Linked DNA regions of Macaca fascicularis. The protein of the gene in region 1 interacts with the protein of each later gene in a pairwise test. Links are inferred from orthologs where the notes say so. Each region holds a gene or a part of one and is shown on either strand. Other genes may lie near its edges.

Region 1 (3,516 bases):
AAAGCTTGCCTAGGAAAACTACCTACATTGAGAAATCACTTGGCTATCTGGACAAATTACCAGGTCTGGTTTGGTTCCACATAGGAATGCATTTAGATGACGGCAAAAATCTGGTTTTACATGGCAAAAAAAAATTATTTTTTTTCTACTTTTTTTTTTGTTTAAGAGACAGGGTTTTGCTCTGTCATCCAGGCTGGAGTACAGTAGTACAATCATACCTTACTGCAGCCTAAGACCTCCCAGGCTCAAGCGATCCTCTTGGCTCAGCCTCCCAACTAGCTGGGACTACATGTATGTGCCACCATGCTGAGCTACGTTTTTGTAGAGACTGAGGTCTTGCTCTGTTGCCCAGGCTGGTCTTGAATTCCTGGCCTCAAGCTATCCTCTCACCTCAGCCTCCCAAAGTGTTAGGATTACAAGTGTGAGCCACCGCACCCAGACTCCTTTTTTTTTTTTCCTTTGTTTTTTTCAGGTTTCCACATACAAAAATTTATTTTAAAAGAGCTATAATTTAGAATGTATTGTGGTGACCTTTACTTAATAGTTTTGGCTGGATATTTCTGGGATTAATAATTGCAAGCAGTCACTTCTGAGAGAATTTTGGAAAGCAGCACAGTGGGCTGAGATTGTTGGGGTGTCCATATATGGCCACAGGACCCTAGTGGCTTTCTCTTAAGCCCCCTCAACAACTGACCATCTATCTAAATGTGCAGAGCGGCTGACTGTGATATGAAAGGATGAAAGACAGATTTGCATTTCTTTAGACAGTAAATAAATCAAATTTTCTCAGACCTTCCAAGAGTGTCCTAAAATACTGGAAAGTCACGGACCCCAATGAAAATGAACAAGGAAACCTGATTCTTGAGAAATAAACATCCATGTGTCCAAAGGCCAGATCTAAGGAGCTACAATGGCTTCATGCCAAAGCTAGAGAGCAGGATCAACTTGGGAATGGTGGCAACTTGAGTCAATGAAAAAGCCAGTTTAGAACCATGTCACTGCCAGGTTTCCCTCCAGACTCTTTTTTTTTTGAGACAGGTGTCTGTCATCCAGGCTGAAGTGCAGTGGTGCAACCTTGGCTCACTGCAAGCTCCACCTCCCAGGTTCAAGCAATCCTCCTGCCTCAGCCCGCAAGTAGCTGGGATTACAGGCATGCGCTACCACGCCCAGCTAATTTTTGTATTTTTAGTAGAGACGGGGTTTCACCATGTTGGTCAGGCTGGTCTCAAACTCCTGGCTTCAAGTGATTCACCCACCTCAGCCTCCCAAAGTGCTGGGATTACAGGTGTGAGCCACTGTGCCCAGCCAGCCCCTCCAGACTCTTAAGACTAGTGTTATTTGCTCAGATGTTGCCAGTGGAAGTGTGAGCTACATCCACTGGATAAAGCCGCTACTTCATCCCTTGACTCAGCAACAGCAGATTATGAAATACTGCTTTAAGATACGGAGTAGAAATTCTTGAGTCAAGATGAAAATCCTGGCCGGGTGCGGTAGCTCACACCTGTAATCCCAGCACTTTGGGAGGTCGAGATGGGTGGATCACGAGATCAGGAGATCGAGACCATCCTGGCTAACACGGTGAAACCCCGTCTCTACTAAAACTACAAAACATTAGCCGGGCACGGTGGCGGGCACCTGTGGTCCCAGCTACTCAGGAGGCTGAGGCAGGAGAATGACGTGAATGCAGGAGGCGGAGCTTGCAGTGAGCCGAGATTGCACCACTGCACTCCAGCCTGGGCGACAGAGCGAGACTCCGTCTCAAAAAAAAAAAAAAAAAAAAAAAAAGATGAAAATCCTGGATAAGGTTTTTATAAGCAGTAAAGCATAAATTACAATGAAGTTGCATTCAGAAGCCACCTGTTAAAGTGGCTTCCTTTTTTAAAATTTGGAACTTGGGGCAATCTTCCCAAGTGGGGTTTACTGCACGAGGAACTTAAGCCACAGTCCCAGTCATACAGTGGATCATTGGCAAAGCTGGGAATAGGACCCAGGACGTCTGCTTTCCAACATGCTACTTTTCTTTTTTTTTTTTGAGACAGGTCTTGCCCTGTTTGCCCAGGCTAGTATGCAGCGGCACAGTCACAGCTCCCTGCAGCCTTGACTTTCTGGCTCCAGCGATCCTCCCAGCTTAGCCTCCCAAGTAGCTGGAACTACAGATGCACACTGCCATGCCTGGAAATGTTTTGTTGTTGGGGGAGTGGAGGTGGTAGAGATGAGTTCTCACTATGTTGCTTAGGCTGGTCTCGAACTCCTGGGCTCAAGCAGTCCTCCCCACTTGGCCTCCCAAAGTGCTGGCATTACAGGCGTGAGCCACCATATCCAACATCGCACATGCTCCGTTTTTTTTTTTTTTTTTTTTTTTTTTTTTTGAGACAGAGTCTTGCTCTGTCACCCAGGCTGGAGTGCAGTGGCGCAATCTCAGTTCACTGCAACCTCCGCCTACCTGGTTCAAGTGATTCTCCTGCCTCAGCCTCCCAAGTAGCTAGACTACAGGCACATGCCACCATGCCTGGATAATTTTTTGTATTTTTAGTAGAGACAGGGTTTCACCGTGTTAGCCAGGTCTCGATCTCCTGACCTCACGATCTGCCCGCCTCGGCTTCCCAAAGTGCTGGGATTACAGGCATGAGCCACCGCGCCTGGCCACATGCTACTTTTAATTACCAAACTCCGTTGCCTGCTATGATTAGTGTACTCTCTAGGAGATTCAATGTACAGAATCTTCTTTTCCCTGTTTGTCCTCGTTAGAATGTCTTATGTGGTACCTAGCACTTGGTGGGTGCTCAACAAATGCTTACCAACCAGACAACGTACATACCTCCTTTTCCTGACACAGCTTTCTTTTTTTTTTTTTTTTTTTTTTTTTTGAGACGGAGTCTCGCTCTGTTGCCCAGGCTGGAGTGCAGTGGCGCGATCTCGGCTCACTGCAAGCTCCGCCTCCCAGGTTTATGCCATTCTCCTGCCTCAGCCTCCTGAGTAGCAGGGACTACAGGCGCCCGCCACCATGCCCAGCTAATTTTTTGTATTTTTAGTAGAGACAGGGTTTCACCGTGGTCTCGATCTCCTGACCTTGTGATCTGCCTGCCTCGGCCTCCCAAAGTGCTGGGATTACAGGCGTGAGCCACCGCACCCGGCCTTTTCTGACAGCTTTCATTCTTTTTCCCCCAGATTCCAGCAGCCAGGAAGTGCTGTCTGAATTGAGAGTACTATCTCAGAAATTGAAGGAAAATGATCAGTCCAGGAAGCAAAAAGCAAGTTCAGAGGGGACTATTCCCCAGGTCCAGAGAGAGGAACCTGCCACAGAAGAAGAGGAGCCCCTGTTGCTACAGAGGCCAGAGAGAGTACAGACGCTGGAAGAACTAGAAGAGCTGGGAAAAGAAGAATGTTTTCAAAATAAGGAGCTTTCCAGACCTGTGTTAGAAGGGCAGCAGTCAGAGAGGACCCCAAATAATCGCCCTGATGCCCCTAAGAAGAAAAAGAAGGAGCAAATGATCGACCTACAGAACCTCCTAACCA
Region 2 (3,516 bases), on another chromosome or scaffold:
TGGGATGGGCAGCAGCAGGGGGGCACTACAGCTGCATTCATTCATTCAACACACATTTACTGGATGTCTCATGCATGCCAGGCACAATGTTGGGCCCAAGATATGGTTTTAAACTAGATAGATGGAATTTATTCTATTGTGATGCTTCATATAGTGGGGGAGAGGTAAGTAAACAAGCACATTTTACATAGAAAGTGCTATGCAGAAAAAATAATACAGGGTGACATGATAGAGAGTGACTGGGGTGGGGAAGCTAAGGTCTTCCAAGGAAGTGTCACAGGGGAGGCACATTTGAGCTGGAATTGGAAGGGGTGGAGGAGCTGGCTCTGTGACACTGGAGAAAGAGCACTTCGGGAGAGAGCAGTGAGTACAAAGGAATGAGCTTGGTCTGATGGAGAAACAGCAGGAAGGTAGAGGTGGCGGGAGCACAGGGAGCAAGAAATGGAGACCAAATAAAGGTGGAGGTTTGGGCAGGAGCCAGGTCCCATGGGGTCTGGGGACACAGAGAGGTGCGGCAGCCTGGGTCTCTCTTAACATTGTGGCCTACTGTGATGAGCCTTGCATCAGGAGTCTAATGACCTGTTTCCACTTCTTACTGTGTGAACCTGGGCAAGTCACTTGACCTCTCTGAATCTATCTGGTGGCCAGTAAAATAGGGAAAATATTCCCTGCTGTGCTAACCTCCAGAGGTATTCAGAAGACAAAGTGAGGTAATAGGTGTCTGCATTATATGTGAAGGTGTTGATATTATTATTATTATTTTTTTTTGAGACGGTGTCTCGCTCTGTCGCCCAGGCTGGAATGCAGTGGCCGGATCTCAGCTCACTGCAAGCTCCGCCTCCCGGGTTTACGCCATTCTCCTGCCTCAGCCTCCCGAGTAGCTGGGACTACAGGCGCCTGCAACTTCACCCAGCTAGTTTTTTGTATTTTTTTAGTAGAGACGGGGTTTCACCGTGTTAACCAGGATGGTCTCGATCTCCTGACCTCGTGATCCGCCGGTCTCGGCTTCCCAAAGTACTGGGATTACAGGCTTGAACCACTGCGCCCGGCCGGTATTGATATTCTTAATGATTGGGTAGCGTGAAAGTGGAGAAGGCCATCTAGGTGGGGAAACAGTGAGGAGAGGCCTCGAGGCAGCCACGGGCATGCCACGTGCAGGACCTGGCCTGGCTGGAGCGGGGCTCTGCGGGAAGAGCAGGAGGCCAGGTGGGACAGGAGGAGACCTGTAGAGACACAGGGACTTGAGTATGAGACAGAGGGGTGTACTTCACCCCAAAGGCCTCTTTGTTAACTATTAGGTGGCCTGTGATGAAGCTTATAACCCAGGGACACTTTAATGTTCCTGCCACCCACTGACTGCTCACTTTTCAGGCACCTAGGGAGGGGATGGTGGTCTAGGACAGATCCTGTTCCTGAGGAGAGACCTGCTGGGCAAAGCACAGGCCCTCTCCTCGTTTTTTTTTTTTTTTTTAATTGAAATTTTAATTGAGATAATTGCAGATTTACAGGCAGTTGGAAAACAATACGAAGAGATCCCTTGTACATTTTGCCCAGTTTTCTCTAATGGTAACATTCTGGAAAACTAACATCACAGCCAGAATATTATCCCACCTCTGTTATTCAGATTTCTTCCATTTTGCTTATATTCATGAATGTGTATGTGTGTTTAATTATATACAATGTTATCACCTATGTAGCTTCGTGTATCCACCTGCACAGTCAAGATACTAAACAGTGTCATCACCTCAGGGTCCTTTCTGTCCCCCACCTCTTTTTGAACCATTTTAACCATTTTAAAGTATACAGTTTGATGGCATTAAGCACACTCACACTGTTGTGCAACCATCACCAACCATCTGTTTCCAGAACCTTTTTCATTTTCCCGATTTCTCCCATTTGAGTCACTGAGTTATTTCTGGAGAAATGCCCCGCGTGGGACTCCAGGTGCCTGGAAACTGACGTGTCTTCACAGGGAGCCCAGGGCAGCACTGGGGAAAATACAACTCAGCACATGGAAGATCTGCTGCCTCCAAATAATGAGGAAAGGGTTATGAAGCTCAGAGAATAGAGGTCAATGCGTGATAGATTTCAACTCAATAACTGTCACAGGAGGTGCCATTTACTTTAGTTCTTGAAGCATATGTATTGTTTCAGTAGATGGAGCTAAGGGGCATGGAGAGGTTGACTGAGCCATTTCATCCTGCAGGTTCCTAAAAATCATCATGATATGACAATTCCATTCTGTACCTTAACTTCACACCCTACGCACACAGTGAAAATGCTCCCAGTCACCATTTCCATCTCCTTTGCTCTGCAGTGCTGGCTTCCTGAGCATCTCCCTGCAGCCCAGCACCAAGCCTCCAGGACTTGGGAATCTCTTGCACTGGAGCTACTGGCCTTAAGATTTCTGATGATGGCCACCAGGAAAGGCCGTTAGTTGCAAACTCAAATGCACTCTCTGGTGTAACGTGTATGACCACAGGGAGCAGTGGTGCTGCTGTGACTTAGAAAGCTTTGTATTTTTTCAAAGGTGGCAGATACTACTGAGCTCTAGCCTATTTTGCCAGATCTTCAGTTTTTTTTGTTTGTTTTTGTTTTCCAAGAGAAGTCAAAAATCCTAATTTTAAAATGTGAAATTTCCCAATTTTTAAACATTGGTGGATCAATTTAAAAACACTTGCCCCTTGGCTGGGCATGGTGGCTCACGGCTATAATACCAGCACTTTGGGAGGCTGAGACGGGTGGATTGCTTGATCTCAGGAGTTCGAGGCTACCCTGGGCAACATGACAAAACACCATCTCTATAAAAAATACAAAAATTAACCAGGTGTGGTGGTGCATGCCGGTGGTCCCAGCTAGTCGAGAGGCTGAGGTGGGAGGATCACTTGAGCCTAGGAGGTCAAGTGAGCTGTGATCAGGGCCTCTGCACTCCATCCTGGGCAACAGAGCAAGACCCTGTATCCAAAATACATAAATAAACTAAACACTGGGGAGCCCTACAGCAGGAGTCTGCAAGCCAGTTTCAGCCTGTGGCTGCAGTTTGGAATCACTGCTGTCAACAGCCAGTTCTCCCTGTTAGACCTTAAGGGAATGAACAGAAGTGACCATATCCAGTCTTTGAGGCTCTTTCCTGACTTGCACTCAGCTTGGCTTCCTTAGATCTGGGAATGCCGTTACAGAGGCCATTCCAGCCTGACATTTGGAAATTTGAAGCACCACCATGGGGCCCAGCTCTCACCTGATGTTCTCATTGGGTACTTTCCCATATCTCTTGATGGCCGAACACTCATTCTTGTGGTTCAACCAAGCATCTTTCTGGCAGGTGCGGTCGCAGTAATGGGCAAACTTGCACTGCCCACAGCGATGGAGCTTCTCCTGCCTCTTGAAGCAAGTGTGGCACACAAAATTAACAAGGCTGGAAATGGAGAGAGAAGACACGTGATTGGGAGCACAGTGGAAAGGGCACCATACAGCCAGTGGAACACGGCATTCTGGTACTGGGTTCAGCTGACTGGT
Region 3 (3,311 bases), on another chromosome or scaffold:
GTAGCATTGCTTTTTGTCAGAGCATCTAAGAGGAAAAAGTCCCCAAGAGCAGAAGCAGCCTGCCACCGTCCTCAGGGACCACAAAGGGCAGGGCCTGCAGAAGGCGATGCTCATTGTGCAGGAAAGCCTGCGGCCTCAGGCAAGCTGTTCCGATAAGCAGCTGTGGGAGGGAGGGGGAGGAGGGCCGAGGGAGGGGGAGGGGAGGCAGAGGTCACTGTTATCGCCTTGGAAGGCAAGACTTCAGCTGCTGCACTGATGTCTTTTCTCAAGTATGCTCCTGTTTTGCAAGTTTAAAATCTTCCTAAAAGGAGAAAAGTAGGAGCCAGGCTCAAGTTCTACCCTAGCACTGGGCAGCATGCCCTCCCTCTGCCAGCGCGGAGGAGCCTGTCATTCTTGCCCGACAGGAAGACGGAACAGGTGCCATCAGTTCCACGGAGTTCCAGCAATCCTCTGAAACCCTGCGCACCACCTCCCCCGACACAAAGATCCCCTACCCTCAATAAAGAGCATAAGTTTGTTTCAAAAAGTTTATTGTAAAATTCAAAGCTTCAACAGCAGCATCCTTTAGAAAACGAAGCATTGCCCGGATCCGTTTTGAAAAAGCAGCGCAGTTGGCTAAGTCCTTCACGCTCCTGCAACTGTACCAAGTCCAGGGCGCCGCTCCTTCCTGCCGAGCGCAGGCTGCTGAGTCACGCCTGCCCGGCCAGTCTGTCCTTCCTGGCCCTGAGGCCAACGTCCTAGCCTAGGCCTTCCTGGGCGAGCAGCCGCTCCAGACACTTGCAGAGTCCTCAGCTCGGGCCAGCCTGGCCCTGCCGCCGCCGGGCCCCTCCTCGAGAGGCCGCGCCTCCTCACTCTCCAGGCGCCCCCCCCGCCTGCCAGTCTCCACGCCGCACTCGGGCACCCTCGGAGGGCCCCTCCACAGAGCCAGCCGCGCTCTAGGCGCCCCGGGGCGTCACCACGTCGATCAGACCAAGGTCCCCGCCGGGCTGTCACTCGGGGAGGGTGATGCTGGGCACCCAGTCGTTAACGCTGCGGCTCTCCTCGCAAAACAGGCTGAGCTTCTCCAAGGCGGGATCCTTCCAGGCGTCCTCGTTGGGGTTCTGCTGAGAGAGAGCAGGGTCAGCCTGGCTGGCCGCGGGCCGAGGCGGGAACTACACCGGGGCGGGGACCGGACGGGGCTGTACTCACCGAAATGAGGATGCAGTGCAGGTCGCCCGGCGCGCCCGCCTCCTCGCCGGCGCCCACGATAGCCGCCAGCCGCTGCACATCGCCCACGCGCACTATGTCGATGTCGTTCTCGCAGCAGAAAGCCTGGATCAGCGTAAAATGGATCTGCAGCGCGATGTCGCCCTCGTCCTCCTCATCGGCAGCCAGCACGCAGAAGGTCACATTGTCGGGGTCCCTGCGAGGGCAAGACGGGGACCAAGGTCAGAACCGGCAAACCAAGTTCTCCCGCAGCCACCCCTCCCATCCGCCGGTCTCTTCGCCATTCATCCCCGCCCCTGTCTCCCAGCCTGGGTCGCGTCTACACTTACACGTTCAGGACTTTGGCTGACTCGTAGACGCCGGCAGTGAGGCAGCCCTGACGCTGCGCGGACAGCAGCAACTCGTGCAGCGCTTTCCCGGCACCCTGCATCCTGCGGAGGAGCCAGCTAGTGAGCGGGAGACGGCCGTGGGGCGCGGTGGAGCCCCGAGCCCCGGCCACGGGGATTCACCCTTGGCTCTCCAACTCCAACCACACTCCAATCCCGGCTTGGCGCCCGCACCCCGGCTCTCCAACCCGGATCTGACGCCCGCACCCCCGGGCTCGGCTCCTATCCCGCGGATTCCCACCCTGGAGAACCCTGACGGTCGCCGACTGACCAGCCGCTTTCTCAGCGCCCTGAAACCCACCTGTCTGTGCTTTCCGGAACTGTGTCCTGGCCGCGGACTTCTTCCAGAGTCATAGTGCGATCAAACAACAGCAAGTTATCCACAAGCGGAGAGCGCGGAGGGGACGCGGGCGAACACCCTGAGACCAAGAGCTCAGCACGGCGCGCCCACCACCAGCGAGTGCGCCCGGGCTACGCTGCGCGTCCTTATATAGGCTGATGGGTGCGGCGCCGCCAGCTGGCGCGAGGCTGCCCGCCTATTGGCCGGCACCCGCTTTCTGATGTAAATGAGACCGCGAGCCCGCGGCTCGTGCCAGAAGGCCACGTGGGGAGGGGTGCGGGGGATGACAATGCCTCAAATCTGCCGCTTTTGTTGGGGTGTTACCAGGCAGACTGGAGCCTGCAGATTTCATCTCGCCTGGCTTTCTTTTTTTTTTTTTTTTTTTTTTTTTTTGAAGTCCTTAAAAGGAAAAAGTAAAAAAAAAAAAAAAAAAAAAAAAAAAGCCAATCCACAAAAACCTTGTTTGCTAATATGATGCTGCAATTTGCGAAAAGCACCTTTATAGAATCAAAAGGAATTTTATTTCCATTTTTTATTGCTACCTTTCTATTTGTTTCTTTTCTTTAATTTGAAGTTTATGAGACTGTTGCATTGGAGCAGGAAATTAAGGTAAAAACAGGTAACGCCAGTTAAAGGCTTGCAAAAGGCAGTGGGCACAGCCCCCTGCAGCTGACCACTAGCGTCCGGAGCGCGCTGGTAATGCCTGCCAGGCATACTCAATGTGTACATTGAGTAGTCGCTGGAAGATCCTACCCCACCTCCCCGCCCTTGGCCGAGAGCAGCGGGGCGCCGGAGAAGGGGGCGGGCAGGGGCGAGCAGATTGCTGCCGGCGCACGCCGCTCGTTTGCATTTCTATGGAGGGCGCACAATAGCAGAGGTCTGGCGTGTGGCGGTTTGCAGTAGGGACAATCGAGGCTTTCTCTTCATAGCAACACTGTCCACCTGCCGCCGGGTGGGGTGGGCAGGCCCCCGCCGCGCGTGGGGGTCGCCGGGCTGCCTGGCGCGTGGGGTCGAGGCTGAGTGCCACTCCGTGGTCCCTGAGTACGCGCCGCCTGTACTGGCCCTGCTACATGTAATTCCCTTCCACCCGTTCCTCGCACGGGTGCCGAGCAGCCTCGCGAGTTGGGAAGCACAGAGAGCTGCTGCGCAGTCTTCGCGACTGGACGCCCTCTGGCCGGGACCCCGCGGCTGCGGCCCTTGGAGCTTAGGGGATGTAGTTCGGTATCTGTTTCCCGGGGCGCCATCTACAGGCAGGTTAAAAAGATCCTGAATCCCTTTTCTCCTCCCCTCCCCCAACACACACACCCTTGCATTGGCCTGGTGCGGGGGAAGGGCGGTGGAGGGGGTCGGCCACGGAGCTGTCCGGCCGGGCCCACTGA
Region 4 (4,258 bases), on another chromosome or scaffold:
GTGGGAAGAGGATACTGGTGGCCCAGACCCTCGGTTCTGGTGGAGGAGGGTGTTGGGGTCCTGGTTCCTGGGTTCTGGGGGCTGGGGACGGGTGGGCCAAGGTCCTGACCTCCTGTGCCTCCTGATGCCTCCGGGTTGAACTCTCGCATTGGTCCATGCGCTCCTGGTGCAAGAACCGGCAGCCTTCAGGCACCAGCAGGGCCTCACTCACAAATTCACCAGCTGGGGAAGCACGGGACACCAGGGTGAGACCCTCCTACAGCACCAACCCCACCCTCCTCAGAATCCAGATATTTTATCCTCAGAGGCTTCTCTGACCCACTTAGGACACAAGCACCCACCCCCTTAATGTGGGCCCGAGAGAGGGGCTCAGAATTTTGCCCCTCGGAAACTCCCACCTCAGTTCCCCTCTCCCCGCCTGGGACTCACGCAGGCAGCGGAAGGGCACAACCTGGTGGTGGGGGTGGGTGCAGCTGCCGCTCCGGGCACCCCCGCACCAGCGCTCCATGGGGATGGCCTGGGTAGCCTGCTCTACACGTGCGATCTGCAGCTCCGGGTACATCTGGGGGGGTTAAATGGGGGCAATCAGCCCACAGCCCCGCCTCTGCCAGCCACCCCTTTCCAGTAGTCAGGTCCCCTTTCTTCCCTCCCTCCCTCCCTCCTTTCTCTCTCTCTCTCTCTGTCTTTCTCTCTTTCTCTCTTTCGGAGATTTGCTCTTGTCGCCCAGGCTGGAGTGCAATGGTACAATCTCGGCTCACTGCAACTTCCTCCTCCCAGGTTCAAGCTATTCTCCTGTCTCAGCCTCCCGAGTAGTTGGGATTACAGGCACGCACCACCATGCCCGGCTAATTTTTGTATTTTTAGTAAAGACAGGGTTTCGCCATGTTGGCCAGGCTGGTCTCGAACTTCTGACCTCAGGTGATCCGTCCGCCTCCGCCTCCCCAAGTGCTGCGATGACAGGCGTGAGCCACTGCGCCCGGCCAGGTCCGTTTTCAAGGCTATCTTTTTTCCTGTGCTGTTTCTTTCTGAAGGTCCCTCTAAGCCCACCTCTCTGGTCACCCCTCCCCGCAGTCAGATTCGTCTCCCCAAAGGTCTCACCCTCCTTTTAGCCCTGCCTTTTCCTCTATTTCGCCTCTCCAAAGCTCTCCCTTCCCATTACAGACTTGTCTTTTCGTGGCCACGCCCCCCAGCTCTCCGCGCTTTCATTGGGCTCCACCCCTTTCCCCATCTCGCTGGTCCTTAAGGTCTCTTTCTGTCTTAGCCCCGCCTATCCTTTCGCCACTCCCCACTACACCTCTGCTTTTTACAAAGACCACCAGATTCCTAAATTCCACTTCTTCTCTGGCTATCTCGCGGTTCTCCCCCTTTCCTGACTTAGTATTTCAAAACAGGTCCCCTGCCCTAGCATAGTTGCACCTCTTTATTGGCCACGTCTGCTAGCTTCCACGTCTTAGATCCCGCGGCACCTTGGACCACGCCTTTTTCAAGTGTAGCTTTCTACGGGCGGCCCCGCCTCGTTTGGGGCCCGCTTTCCCGCTGGCCCCGCCCCTCCCGCTCGGCCCCGCCCACCTGTCTGCAGTACTCCAGCACGCGCTGCGGGTCCCGGAGACAGCGTCGAGAGCGCTGTGGGTCTGGTTCCCAGCGGCCGGTGCGCAGGTCCCGGTGAAGGGTTAGGCGCCCGCATAGTCCAGCCACCTGGGCCGACCCCTGGGCCTGGATGGAAGTGGAGGGGATAATGAGGGCCCGGGGGGCGTTGGCATGAGGGTCCCCTGGTTCTTTGCTCCCTAGGACCGAGACCCCCAGCACCAGCCCCCTCCCCCAAGCACCGTTGTGCACACCGCCTCCATGGAGGCACCGTTCCCTGGGAAACAGCTCCCGTAGGGCGGGGGCGCCCTAGCTCTCCCGTTGCTATGGCGACCCGGGTCCCCCGGGATTCTTTCTGCCTTGTTGCCGCGGAGACAGACTCCGCCCCGACCCCAGCTCAGCCGCTCTGGAGCCCGAAGGGGTTAAACCTGAATCGCGGAGGAGGCCTGAACCCAGGCGTTCTGGCCCCTCCTCCCTCCATCCCTTGCTCAGGCTCCGGTTGCAGGGTGCAAAGCTGATAAGGCCTGGCTTCAGGGGCCTACAGTCCTGGACACCAGGTCCTTGAGGACTGGAGAGCTACATCTGGTTGGGGTGGGTGGTGACTGAAGGACCGGACTCCTGGGTCCTAGGAGGCTGCAAGGGCCTCCATATGGGTCCAGAGAATACAAGGGGTCTGGATTATTGGATCTAAGTGCCTCGCTGCTTGGTGGGTCCTATGTCCAGGAGGGAGGGGGTTGGGACCTAGTCACCTGGGTCTGGAGAGGGGGCTGGACTTCTGGGACCAGGGGCTCTGAATAGACCAGTTCCTATGCTCGGGGTGGGAGGGGGCTGGGACGTCGGAGGATGGGGGAGCTGGGGCCTGGAACCCTGGGTTCATAAATGCGGTTGGGGGCGCCTGGGGGCTGACCACCTGGCTGGAAAGACCGCGCTTTCTGTCCTGTACATGTCCGCGCTGGCGTCCAAAGACCCGGTCCCGCCCCTTCCCCCATCCCCCAGGACCCGGCCCGGCCTCACCTCGGCCGCGCCGGGGCTCCCACCGGCCAGGCTCCCGATGGCGGGCTGCGCGCGCAGAAGCAGCAGCAATAGTGGCAGCAGCAGCGGCAGCGGCGGCTGGCCCGGGCGGCGACTTAGACCGCGAGCAGCGGGGCTGGCTGGCCCCATGTCCCGGCCCTTGAGCCCTCACGTCCCCTGCACTCCCGCCCGGCCCGGCCCCAGCGGTGACAGGAGCTCCCAGCGCCACCGCCGCCACCTCCTCCTCCCGCCGCCCCCGGGCTGCGCCGGCGCCGCCAGCCACGCCCCGCGCCGGCCCCGCCTTCCTGGCTAGGACAATAGCGTGGCGGCTCCGCGCAGAGTGGAGCAGCTCGGGAACCCCGGGCGGGAGCCTGCGCCAGGCCCCCGCCCCTGGAGATTCCAGGCGTCCCGCCCCATGAAGGGCCCAGCCAGGAGTCCTGCTATGGGCTCAGCCCGTTGTGGATTTTGAGTCCTCCCGCAGGACTCTCACCCTCTTTAGACCCAGACACTCACAGTTTTGTCCTTCTCCAAGGATGCAAGCATCAGAGACCCCCGTCCCCTAGTAAATTCCTCTATTGAGGGCTCAGGAATACAGGCCTCCAAAATGTCCCGTCAAGATGGCAGCAGTTGAGACCCAGTCCCCTCCTCTTTCAGATCCAGAAGTCTGGGCACCTTCTCTCTCAGGACCAGAGACCAAGCCCCCAGCCCATTCTCCCTCAGAACCAGTTCAGTCTTCCTGCTCTGCTTCCCAAGGGTCCCAGGGGCCTGGATCTTTAACTCCTAGCTCAAGGATCCATGAACCAAAGCCCCCGGGACCTTTCTTTAAGGATCACCCAAGCAGGCACCAGCACCATGCCCACTGTGGATGCAGCGCCCCAGGATTAGGGTCTGGATCTCCACCCTTGCTGTAAGGACCAGGGGATTGCCATTTTCATGCCCATAGTCTCCTTCTCTGTCCCACTTCAGGGCTCACTCGTTTGTCTCCTCTAATGAGAGTGTAGAACTCTGTCTTTCCCAGGACCCCTGGGGCAGCCCTGTCACATGTGTGCAACTGTGTGGACATCTATGCGTGTGTCTGTGCATACATGCCAATGTGTGTGTCTTTTCTGTTTGCAACTCGTGTGTGTGTGTGTGTGTGTGTGCGTGTGTGTATGAAGATGTATATTAAAAGAGTCCATGACTGGGCACAGTGGCTCACGCCTGTAATACCAGCACTTTGGGAGGCCTAGGTAGGCGTATCACTTGAGGTCAGGAGTTTGAGACCAGCCTGGCCAACAGGATGAAATCCTGTCTCTACAAACAAATACAAAAATTAGCTGGGTGTGGTGGTGTGCACCTGTAGTCCCAGCTACTTGGGAGGCTGAGGTGGAAGGATGGCTTGAGCCCAGGATGCAGATGTAGCAGTGAGCTGAGATGGTGCCACTGCACTCCAGCCTGGGCCATAGAGCCAGACCTTGTCTCAAGAAAAAATAAATAAATAAAGAGTCTAGAGTGCTTTGCAGGTAGCAAGAGGCTGAGAGGTGGCTCACAGTTTTGCTTCTACAGCCACCTTATAGGCTAGGGTAGAGGAGAGACCTTGGGACAGGTCTAATGGACCCCTTCCTTGATGGAGGGTAATAATGCCAGTAGACTCCCTAAGACACACTTGCCTCTTTGACTTTTT
Region 5 (3,516 bases), on another chromosome or scaffold:
TAGGAAGATTTCAGTTTTAGATAAGTTTTTTTAGCTTTACAGTTAACAAACAAAAAATTAAACCCTATTTAATTTCTAGCCCTAAATTAAGTCCTATAAATAAAGCACATAGAGTCCAATAGATGTTCAAAGCATATAAAGAATAGTCAACCCCTTACCTTTAAGGATGTCAGTTGATCTGCCCACATTTCTATTATAGGAACAAGATGCTCAAATCCACAATCTTGAATAAGATCTTTATTAAAATTTTGGGCTCCCCCTTTGCTCTGTTTATAAATTATTACTGGAGCTCTTGGATTGTGGATAATTGAATTGATGCTACACAGCACCTTTAAAAAAAACATAGTGTATTTAGTCAAAATATTTATCCTATGCCTACAAAGTTATATATTTTAAAGGAGTGCTTTATGTCTATATATATTATATACATGCATTTCATTAAATATACAAAGAATTATCACAAGGAATTGGTTCATGCAATTATGAAGACTGACAAGTCTCAAGATTTGCAGTGAGTAAGTGAAGACCCAGAAAAGCTAATGGATATTTGCAGTCCAAACACAGGCAGACTGAGACCCCTGCAAGTGCGAATGTTTCAGTTTGAGTCTGAAGGCAGGAAAAAAAAGTGTCCCATCTTGAAAGCAGTCAGCGGGGAGGAGTTCCCTCTTATTCAGCCTTTTGTTCTACTCAGGCCTTCAAATGATTGGATGAGGCCTACCCCATTAGGAAAGGCAGTTTGCTTCACTAAGTCTACTGATTCAGATGTCAATCTCATCCAGAAGCATCTTCCCAGACACACATCCAGAATAATGTTTAACCAAATATTGGGCATCCTATGCCACAGTAAAGTTGAAACAAAATTAACTAATACAAACACCCATATAATCACTACCTAGGTTCAACAATTGTTAGTATTGTGCCATATTTGCTATCTATATTTTGAGGTGAACCATTTGAAGAAACTCTGCACCCTGAAATAATAAAGCGTGCATCTTTTAAAAGTAGGCATATTCTCCTACAAACCCACAAGACCATTATCAGACTATTTAAGGAAATTAACAGTAATCCCCAGGCTTAGTATGGTGGCTCATGCCTGTAATCCCAGGTTGAGGCAGGAAGATCACTTGAGCCCAGGAATTCAGGGCTGCAGTGAGCTATGATAATGCATTCCAGCCTGGGCAACAGAGCAAGACCCTGTCTCCAAAAATAATATCATTGATGCCTGGATTGAATTTTAAATATCTTAATATATTAAGATAGTATACTATTTGACTATAACCCTCTCCCCATAAGTGATGAGTTCTACCTTAGATATCATCCAAGGATAAAAAGGGAGACCCCCAAAAAGCATGTTTAAAGAGAGAAGAATAAAGCCATTTCCTATTACCACCATCAAGTTCAGCCTATTTAATAAAAAGTTTCACAATATAAAGATAGCATTTTGCTCCTGAATCTTCGTCCCTGGTCATACTTCAAGATATAACTAATAGGCTTCCTGGTAATATGACTTAATATGTTTATTATATTACTTCAGATGTTTATTTAGAAGCTTTTTAAGTCCAAATTAGTGTAATTCAATATTTCACTTCAGATTGATGTATGTATATATGTTTTATTTATTTATTTGACAGAGTCTCACTCTGTGGCCTAAGATGGAGTGCAGTGGTGCGAACAGAGCTCACTGCAGCGTTGAATTCCTGGGCTCAAGTGATCCTCCCATGTCAGCCTCTCAAGTGCTAGGACTACAGGTGCACGCCACCATGCCCAACTAATTAATTTTTTTTTCTAGAGATGTGGTCTCACTATATTGCCCAGGCTGATCTCAGACTCCTGGCCTCTAGCAATCCTCCTGCCTCAGTCACCCAAAGTGTTAAGATTACAGGCGTGAGCCACCATACCCGGCCTGAATTCCCCCTTTAAAGGACAAAGTCTCTCAAATTGAGTCTCAGAAACAAAATGAAATCCAGTTACATACTGGTACAAGAAAGTCTAAAACAAAACAGTTTTCAGAAAGGTGCTTGGTTCCCATTTACAATAGCAATAAAAGTTATAAAATACCTAGGAAATAGCAAGGTATTTCCTAACAAGAAATATGCAAGAGCTAAATTTAAAAATATACAACACTTTATTGAAGACTATAAAAGATGACCCTGATGAAAGTACATATTTCTCTGAATGTGATGATTCAAAAAGGTTAAGGTGTCATTTCTCCAAATATTAATCCATAAAGTCAATTCAGTTTTAGTTCATCTCAATGGGATTTAGTTTTTAATTTGAAAACTGTTCATCCAGAAGAATAAATGTGCTAAAAATATAGCCAATAAAATTTTTTTTTAAATGACAGGATACTTGCCTCAAGGGCTATTAAAACTTATAACTATAGAAATTAATATATGGAAACAGTTGAGAAATGCAACAGACTAGAGAATCTAAAAACAAATCTGTGCATATAAAGGAATATGATCTATGATAAAATGTTATTTCAATAAAGTAGACAAAAAAGTAGCGTATTAGAGACTGCAAACAAAGACACCCAGAGAATCCAGGTACGAGTATAAATGAGTGAAGTAAGGATGAATAGCAACTGGCTAACTACAGAACACATGCTCATATCTGACAAGGGAAAGGCCTAATTCTGCTGTGATAATAACCATGCAGGAATTTGTTGCCAGATCTTCTGACTTTTTAAGAGAAATTAGAAATAGCAGCCTAGAAAAAATAAAATATCTTAATTTTTTAAAAAGTGAATAATCTAAAATTTAAAAATCTTATGTGTACCCAATAAAATATGAGTGAAAGTCCAGTTCAGTCACTAAACTACCAGGTTTAACTGCTCAGCTATTCAATAAATGATCTGTAAAACTAGGAAGGTGAGATTCCCTATATCACACCATATAGAAAATTAATTTCAGATGAACTAAGGTCTCTACACAAAAACAAAGCCATACAAGGACCCTAAGAAAACAGATTTACTTATATAATAATAATAGCAACAAAAGAAACAAGAAGAGGGAAAATGGCTTACAGGGGGAAGGAAGGAAAAGGATTATAAAATCTTTTAAAAATCTTAAAGCTCTTTACTAACCTGCTTTGAACTAGGCCCAGAGTCTCCTTTAAGTAGTAAGATGAAGTCTACAATGTTTTTAGTCAAACAGTTAGTTATATCACAGAAAGACAAAACAGAATAAGTACACATAAATATGAGGTGCAAGTATTCCTTACCAACTGATAATTTATTACACTGCAACTGATAACCAAGATTTATGACAAACATCAGTCTTTTTGTCATGAAAAATCAATTCAATACCTGAAAGTATCTCTGGTCAATTAGGGCCTGTTGCTGATTATATTTGCTGGGCTCATCTTTTTTCTCTGTGTCCTCAGCCTTCTTAGGACTAATAAGCTCCTGTAATCTAAAAGGGAGAAAAAAATCAAGATAATGCAAAATTATTTCCTAGACACTGGACCAAGATGATAAACTAAGTAAATGATCCAGTCACCCTCCCAACAGCCTTA

Evidence for each region.
Region 2: the proteins of UTP14A (region 1) and SMYD1 interact in binary tests that used the Homo sapiens proteins (3 or more experiments, as listed by UniProt). The link is inferred for Macaca fascicularis from reciprocal best matches to the Homo sapiens genes UTP14A and SMYD1.
Region 3: the proteins of UTP14A (region 1) and GADD45G interact in binary tests that used the Homo sapiens proteins (3 or more experiments, as listed by UniProt). The link is inferred for Macaca fascicularis from reciprocal best matches to the Homo sapiens genes UTP14A and GADD45G.
Region 4: the proteins of UTP14A (region 1) and APLP1 interact in a two-hybrid assay, tested with the Homo sapiens proteins (2 studies listed by BioGRID and IntAct). The link is inferred for Macaca fascicularis from reciprocal best matches to the Homo sapiens genes UTP14A and APLP1.
Region 5: the proteins of UTP14A (region 1) and CEP70 interact in a two-hybrid assay, tested with the Homo sapiens proteins (2 studies listed by BioGRID and IntAct). The two-hybrid records come from large-scale screens. The link is inferred for Macaca fascicularis from reciprocal best matches to the Homo sapiens genes UTP14A and CEP70.

Annotation. Positions count from the first base shown.
Region 1 is NC_088395.1:136,191,743-136,195,258, forward strand, and holds part of UTP14A (U3 small nucleolar RNA-associated protein 14 homolog A), read left to right. Parts: intron 1-3,168; coding exon 3,169-3,516. UniProt on the Homo sapiens protein: May be required for ribosome biogenesis.
Region 2 is NC_088387.1:22,921,636-22,925,151, forward strand, and holds part of SMYD1 (histone-lysine N-methyltransferase SMYD1), read right to left. Parts: intron 3,416-3,516; coding exon 3,239-3,415; intron 1-3,238. UniProt on the Homo sapiens protein: Methylates histone H3 at 'Lys-4' (H3K4me), seems able to perform both mono-, di-, and trimethylation. Acts as a transcriptional repressor. Essential for cardiomyocyte differentiation and cardiac morphogenesis.
Region 3 is NC_088389.1:119,949,125-119,952,435, reverse strand, and holds GADD45G (growth arrest and DNA damage-inducible protein GADD45 gamma), read right to left. Parts: upstream 2,057-3,311; 5' UTR 1,947-2,056; coding exon 1,894-1,946; intron 1,638-1,893; coding exon 1,536-1,637; intron 1,403-1,535; coding exon 1,189-1,402; intron 1,101-1,188; coding exon 990-1,100; 3' UTR 514-989; downstream 1-513. UniProt on the Homo sapiens protein: Involved in the regulation of growth and apoptosis. Mediates activation of stress-responsive MTK1/MEKK4 MAPKKK.
Region 4 is NC_088393.1:43,098,535-43,102,792, reverse strand, and holds the start of APLP1 (amyloid beta precursor like protein 1), read right to left. Parts: upstream 2,807-4,258; 5' UTR 2,746-2,806; coding exon 2,599-2,745; intron 1,714-2,598; coding exon 1,570-1,713; intron 563-1,569; coding exon 430-562; intron 223-429; coding exon 110-222; intron 1-109. UniProt on the Homo sapiens protein: May play a role in postsynaptic function. The C-terminal gamma-secretase processed fragment, ALID1, activates transcription activation through APBB1 (Fe65) binding. Couples to JIP signal transduction through C-terminal binding.
Region 5 is NC_088376.1:41,346,265-41,349,780, forward strand, and holds part of CEP70 (centrosomal protein of 70 kDa), read right to left. Parts: intron 3,414-3,516; coding exon 3,308-3,413; intron 330-3,307; coding exon 159-329; intron 1-158.